2 linked regions of the Pelodiscus sinensis genome follow. The protein of the gene in region 1 interacts with the protein of each later gene in a pairwise test. Links are inferred from orthologs where the notes say so. Each region holds a gene or a part of one and is shown in the gene's direction. Other genes may lie near its edges.

Region 1 (3,747 bases):
GGGTGATGAGGGGCAGGATGAGTGGCCGGGGAAGAGATGGGGGGACAGGAGGAGTGTGTAGGGACGGGTGATGAGGGGCAGGATGAGTGGCCGGGGAAGAGATGGGGGGACAGGAGAAGTGTGTAGGGACGGGTGATGAGGGGCAGAATGAGTGGCCGGGGAAGAGATGGGGGGACAGGAGAAGTGTGTAGGGACGGGTGATGAGGGGCAGGATGAGTGGCCAGGGAAGAGATGGGGGGACAGGAGAAGTGTGTAGGGACGGGTGATGAGGGGCAGGATGAGTGGCCGGGGAAGAGATGGGACAGGAGGAGTGAGTAGGGACGGGTGATGAGGGGCAGGATGAGTGGCCGGGGAAGAGATGGGGGGACAGGAGGAGTGTGTAGGGACGGGTGATGAGGGGCAGGATGAGTGGCCGGGGAAGAGATGGGGGGACAGGAGGAGTGTGTAGGGACGGGTGATGAGGGGCAGGATGAGTGGCCGGGGAAGAGATGGGGGGACAGGAGGAGTGTGTAGGGACGGGTGATGAGGGGCAGGATGAGTGGCCGGGGAAGAGATGGGGGACAGGAGGAGTGTGTAGGGACGGGTGATGAGGGGCAGGATGAGTGGCCGGGGAAGAGATGGGGGGACAGGAGGAGTGTGTAGGGACGGGTGATGAGGGGCAGGATGAGTGGCCGGGGAAGAGATGGGGGGACAGGAGGAGTGTGTAGGGACGGGTGATGAGGGGCAGGATGAGTGGCCGGGGAAGAGATGGGGGACAGGAGGAGTGTGTAGGGACGGGTGATGAGGGGCAGGATGAGTGGCCGGGGAAGAGATGGGGGACAGGAGGAGTGTGTAGGGACGGGGGCTGGGGGGACAGAATGAGTGTCCGGGGCCGGGCAAGCGACCGGGGGACGATGGTTTGCAGGGAGCAGCTCTCTACAAGCCACCGCGGGAGAATGGTCTATGAGCAGGGACGAGGGGGTAGGAAGAGGATCAGAGCCGGGGGAAGGAGGGGGTTCCCTGAAGCTGTGGGGGGGGGGGCGGGACCGGGGGCGGAGACAAGAAGGGGGCGGGACCCGAAATTCCCCCTCCCCGGCGCCCTTTGCCCCCTCCCCTGGCTCTCCCCGGTTGCGACGTCACTTGTTATGTCTCCGCCGGCGGCTCGGGCTCCGAGGGGGGGCGGGAGGCAGGCGGCGGCCGCCGGGCGGGGGAGGCCGGGACTCGGAGCCCGCAGGCAGGCGCTAGGCCCAGCCTCCCGCCCCGCTGACTACCCAGTCCCGGGCGGAGACCATCCTTGAGGGCTTCTGTCCCCCGGCTGCTCCCCATCCCCCTGCCTACCTGGGGGCCTCTCCCCCAGCCTGAGTGCACCCCCATCCCCTCCCCGGCCAACTTGGCAACCCCCCTGAAATCTCCTCCTCCCGTCGCTGACTGGGGACCAGGGCCGCCGGGAGAGAGCCCAGGAGCCGGGGCCAGGAGGAGGATCCGGGCGGCAGCAGCAGAGGGGTTATTGGTCTGAATAATTCGCTCCTTCCCCCGTCTCCTCCATTGGGATCTCTCTCTTTCTCTCTCCCCTAGGATTGGCTCTCTTCAGAGAGTCACATAGAGAGAGGAAAGATGTGGCTGAAGCTGTTTTTCTTGCTTCTCTATTTTCTGGTCCTGTTTGTCCTGGCCAGGTTTTTTGAGGCCATTGTCTGGTATGAAACTGGCTTCTTTGCCACCCAGCTGGTGGACCCCGTGGCCCTGAGCTTCAAGAAGCTGAAGACCATTTTGGAGTGCAGAGGGCTTGGGTACTCTGGGCTGCCGGAAAAGAAAGATGTCAGGGAGCTGGTGGAGAAGTCAGGTAAGAGATCATACGTAAGAAGATATTTCACCCATTAACGAGAGATGTGCTGGCTTTTTCCCCCCCTAGGAATGGTTTTTCTGTAGTTAAAAAATCTCTGAGCACTTGATTTAAAAAACTTTACACATTAACTGCTTATTTTGGAACAAAATCATCTCTGTAGTAATACTCTTACATTCCTAATAGCAGTTTTTGTACTGAAGGATCCTAAAGTGCTTTCCAGATTGTTCATACCCTACAGCACCACTGAAGTGTAGCCCCTCTGGGGTGTAGGATAGCAGCCAGCTGGCACAGGCCATGCTGTGCAACACTAATGTGTGAGGAGGGAAACTTTGGCCAAGGACATCAGTCAAAATCTACTTATGAAAAGTATGATATGTCTATGATGAAGGGACAGAGCCTCAGCTTTTCCAGTCTTGTCAAACTGTTATATACAATACGCATATCTTTTTCCCAGCCTGGTGTCTGTCCACCTTTATGGGTTAACAGCTCTCCAAGAAGTATTTAAATAAATAACCAGTTGTCTCAGTAGACCAAATAATAAAATATTAGTGTGATAAATGTAAGAGATTATTCCAAAAGCTGTAGAACTGTGAAATACATTAAATTTCTTACACAAGTCATATATGTGAATAGCATATTATACCATCTATCTAAAATATCAGCCTTCTGTATTCAGTCAAACTTGAAAACTTGAACAAAGGTTTTGGTTTCAGGAAAGAGAATATTTCAGGGAAGTTACTCTGAGAGGCTGTGGGATGATTGAATCTGAATGTTAGATTATGTTTGCACAGTAGGAAATATACTGTCAGCTTTGCTTCTAGGTATCAAACATTTGTTTTTCTCCCAGTGCATCCTCCGTGCTACTGTAGCCCTCAGTAATTTAACTATATAGGCCAAAATATTAAGCCTTTAGAAGGGCACTGTCTTGGGCCTAATTTTGGTCACGTTAGTCTTGTCCTGGTGTAACTCCACTGACTTACCATTGATATTACCATAGTGCTTAAAGGTCTCAGTTAGGACCTCCATTCTGATGTGCTATGTAACTTAACTCCTGTGCCAAATAGCCTGCTGTCTAAAAAGGCAAATGACCTTTGGAGCTAGATTCACAAAGGGATTTAGGCATCTAACTGCCAGTTTAGTTGTATAAAATCCCAGATACCCACTAGTACTTAAAAAGTCCCACTCAGCTGCCACCTAACCCTGAAGGTGCCTAAACTCACTCAACACCCAAGTTTTTGCAGGAAAAGTTCCCTAGATGCCTATATTTCTGCCTCAGAGCATGCACTCTGATACTGCTCTCTAGGTGTCTGGGTGCCTGAGTCCCAGTGTAATTCATTATCTGGAGGAAGATAAGTGCTCCTCTGCCGGACCTAACTCACTTGTGAGGCCCAATCCAGTTGTTGTGTTCTGATTATATCTAACTCCTCCCAAAATGGCCAATGATGGCAAGAGGTGTTCCTACATATATTTTAGCCCGTTGCCGTTTTACCTAGTCTTGTTACAATGGAGGTCCATATAACCCTAAGCACAACATTACGTGGGCCAAACAGATTCTACATATTTTAGTAAGATTTAAAGTCACGTGTATTGATTTTTATATTCAGCTTGTTTCATATGTATGTGGATATGTTGCTTCTATGTACAGTAATGTCTGTTTACACCCTTGTGTGCACTCTGTCATGTGCCCAATGACTCTAATTACTTATCTGAAGCGGAATAGCAAGTGGTAGATCAGGCATCAAGCACTACTGCCAGTGGGGGGGACTTGAACCACTGGGTCACAGACATACCAGCTGAATATCCTAGACATTGGGCTGAAAGTTGTGGGGCAACGCTTCCTCTCCCCTGCTCAGTTTAAAAAAAAAAAAAAAAAAAAAAGTAATACCCTAAGCCGGTTGACAAATTGTGGCCCACATACCCACTCT
Region 2 (3,747 bases), on another chromosome or scaffold:
CTGTACTCTCTCTCACGTGACATTTAAACCAGGATATACCCATTTTATCCTTGGAGCAGCCACCTTCCATTATATCTCACTCCTTTCATTTATGCACGATACTAGCCCATTGATGTCCCCTATTGCACTCACATTTCTTAAATGTAATGCCTCATGCAACTGCTTCCTTTATACATAACTCCTGCACACACCCCTATGCACCTATGTTCAATTACACATAACCTTGTTCCCAGAAATTAAGCTCCTTATATATATATCTCTCCAGGAATCCAGCTCCCTCCCACATAACCCACCCGCTCAGGTGCCGAGCTCCCCTCACACCTATCCCCCCAGGTACTGAGCTCCCCTCCCCACCTAACCCAACTGCCTGGGCACCCATCTCCCCCCCACACCTAACCCACCTGCCCTGGCACTCAGTTCCTCCCCACACCTAACCCACAAGCCTTGGCACCAGCCCCCCCCACCTAACCCACATGCCCAGGCACCTAGCTCCAATCCACACCTAACCCACGTGCTCTGGCAACACAGCTCCCCCTCCCCCCCCACATAACCCACTTGGCTGAGCACCCAGCTCCCCCCAACACACCTGCCCAGGCCACTTGGCTGAGCATCCAGCTCTCCCCAACACACCTGCCCAGGCACCCAGTTGCCCCCCCCCACCTACCCCACCTGCCCTGGCACCCAGTTCCCCCCCCACCTATCCCACCTGACCTGGCACCCGGCTCCCCCCCCACCTACCCCACCTGCCCTGGCACCCAGTTCCCCCCCCACCTACCCCACCTGCCCTGGCACCCGGCTCCCCCCCCCCACCTACCCCACCTGCCCTGGCACCCGGCTCCCCCCCCACCTACCCCACCTGCCCTGGCACCCGGCTCCCCCCCCCACCGACCCCACCAATTCCCATCCCCCCACTCCCGGGATCCTCTTGGACCCGATTCAATGGTCTCATCCCAGCGTGCCCGCCGGCGTGTCCCTTTAACGCGCGCTCCCGCCAGACCGCTGCGCCCCCGCGCCAGGCCGCTTGTCATTTTTTTTCTCCTCCCCCCGTGCGCGAGCCCGCCCCGCCCCCCGAACCCCGCGAGCTCCCGGCTCATTGGCTGTGGGGAGCGCGCGCGCGCGCGGCGCTGTCGGGTGCGCGCGGCGGCAGCTTCACTTCTCTCCGGGCAGCGGCGGCGGCAGCAGTAGCCGAGGGGGCAGCGCGCAGCCCCCACCCTTCGCCTGGCCCCAGCCGGGCCGCCCGCAGCCTGAGCCGGCGTCAGCCCCAGCCCTGAGCCCGCCCGCAGGTAACGCTCCCCGCCTCTGTCCCTCCCGCTGCTTGCCCCCCGCAGCGCCCTCCTGCCCCACCCCCTCCCCCGCCCGCCCCGCCCCTTTCCCGCCCAACCCCGGTGCCCGCCTGCCCCCTCCCGCATCAGCACCTGCCCCCTCCCCTCCCCCCTCTCCCGCATTCACCTGCCCCTCCCAGCCGCCTGCCCCATTCCTCTCCCCTTGGCCGCCACCCCCACATCCCTCTGCCCTCCCTGCTCCACTCTTCTACTTTCCTCGCTCGGCCCTCCCCTCCCCTCCCCCCATGCCGCTAGCTCCCCCCTGCCCTGTTCCTCTGCCCCCTACCAGCACCACCTGCCCCATTCCTCTTCCTCCCCATCCCTCTGGCTGCTCCAGCATCACTTGTCCCCTGACCACATCCCCTGCTCCTCTGTCCACTCCATCCTCCTTCCATAGCCCACCTTATCCCATTCTTCCGCCATAGCCTTAACCCCCTGCCCCTTCATCCATCCTCCCCAAAACATAGTCCCACCAATTCCTATGTGCTTCCCACCCTAGCTCCATCAGTCTCTGTTCTCTTATACTTACTATGTCCTCTGCCTCACCATCTGCCCATTCCTGTATTCTCCAGCTAACACTGCCTGTCCCACATCTCTTTCCCCAGCTACTTCTGTCCCACAGCTCCCCAGAACATTTGTGTCCTGTGTCATTGCTACCACATCCCCCACCCTTTGACACCCCACCACATCTCACTGCAACAGCCCCATCCATCTCCCTGCCCCCATACGCTCACCATGTCTCCCTGCCTAGCCCCATCAATTTGCCCCTCTTCCCTTTGGTACCCCACATCCTTCCTGCCTCTGTTCCTCACCCAGGGTCCTAGCAATGCCTTCTCTCAGTTTTCCTACAATACTAATTGCATCCTCCAGCAATCCCTCCTTCACTATCCCCTACAGTACTCCCCCACACAGGTAAAGACCACCTTCTTTTGCCTCTAACCATCCTTGTATCATCACCAGTAATTCTTTACCTTTTGTTCTTCTCTGCATTGTCCTTCTGTCCCCTAGAAATACCCTTCCTGCTCCTTAGGACCTTGTTCTTAAACGCCCCTTATCCTTTCTCTGCACTCATGCACAGACATGTATATGGGTCAAATAATTCCATTCCCCCATAAATCCCTTATCTCTGTTCTCACTGATATAAACATCCCCTCAAGGAGAGGGATGGGGAGAAATCCCCCTTCCAGAAATACATAAGGATGGGAATTAGAATTCCTTACTGGTATTTGCTACCTTATGCAACTACCTCTTCTACAGCAGAGATGGATAAACCACTCCACTCATGGTGACAAGAGCAAACTAATCCCGTAGCTCATCTTGCCCAACCCCCATTTCTTCCTTACATGACCTCTATGCTTTCCTTACAAATTCTTCTCCTGCTATTATCTGCTGTCCACTACTTCTCACCCTAATGCCTCTGCCCCATATCCTTTCTCTTCCATCCTCTCTTTCCACTTTCTCTGTATTACTTTGTGTGGAGGAAGAAAGGATCTGGAATGTGCAGGATAAATGTCATTTTGAAAAATGCCCATTTCAGTCCCCTGCTATCTTTTTGTACTGCTTAATTATGTTGAGTCTCTATGACATGTGCCTCTCCCTCCCACTCCAGGCAGCAGGAAAACAGGAGAAGGGGGGGTGTGTGTGTGTGTGTGTGTGTGTGTGTGTGTTGAGTCTCTATGACATGTGCCTCTCCCTCCCACTCCAGGCAGCAGGAAAACAGGAGAAGGTGTGTGTGTGTGTGTGTGTGTGTGTGTGTGTGTGTGTGTGTGTGTGTGTGTGTGTGTGTGTGTGTGTGTGTGTGTGTGTGTGTGTGTGTGTGTGTGTGTGTGTGTGTGTGTGTGTGTGTGTGTGTGTGTGTGTGTGTGTGTGTGTGTGTGTGTGTGTGTTGGTCTGGAGCTGCAGCAGCATTTTATTTTTTGGTCCCTCAAACATAGACCCTGGCCTGGGGTTGGCTATGAATTGGACTCTTCCTGCTTTTTCTCCTGTAATGTTAAGATTTTTTGTGTGTGCCCTTAATGGTTTCTAATTAAGATGGAGCGAGGTAGCTGCTCCTGCTACTGCTTTCCATGGACCCAGAAGAAAAGTTGCATTTGTCCTTTTGGTTCTAAGAAATCAAGTCAATTTAAGAGAGGCATCATCCCTGGCTCTCTTGCCCTCAGGACCTATCTGCACATTGCTGGAATCTTTTTTTTCCCTGGCTGCAGCTGTTGTTTTTTGATGGCGGGTTGATTGGGTAAATGAAATAAGTAAGTTGTCTTGAACATGTTTGGTTTCAAAATTTACAGATCGGGTTTAATATCAAGGTGTTTAAATACATCATGATTCTTTAGGGTAATACTTGTAATCCTCCTTCTGTTCCCTCCATCCAGCTCTCACAATACAAGGGCAGCAGAGGGTTTAAATTCTGAATGTGGCATAATTTAGC

What was found.
Region 2: the proteins of E3 ubiquitin-protein ligase RNF103 (region 1) and ubiquitin-conjugating enzyme E2 E2 interact in a two-hybrid assay, tested with the Homo sapiens proteins (2 studies listed by BioGRID). The link is inferred for Pelodiscus sinensis from reciprocal best matches to the Homo sapiens genes RNF103 and UBE2E2.

Annotation. Positions count from the first base shown.
Region 1 is NC_134715.1:122,872,976-122,876,722, reverse strand, and holds the start of E3 ubiquitin-protein ligase RNF103, read left to right. Parts: upstream 1-1,079; 5' UTR 1,080-1,593; coding exon 1,594-1,819; intron 1,820-3,747. UniProt on the Homo sapiens protein: Acts as an E2-dependent E3 ubiquitin-protein ligase, probably involved in the ER-associated protein degradation pathway.
Region 2 is NC_134712.1:189,668,957-189,672,703, reverse strand, and holds the start of ubiquitin-conjugating enzyme E2 E2, read left to right. Parts: upstream 1-1,112; 5' UTR 1,113-1,283; intron 1,284-3,747.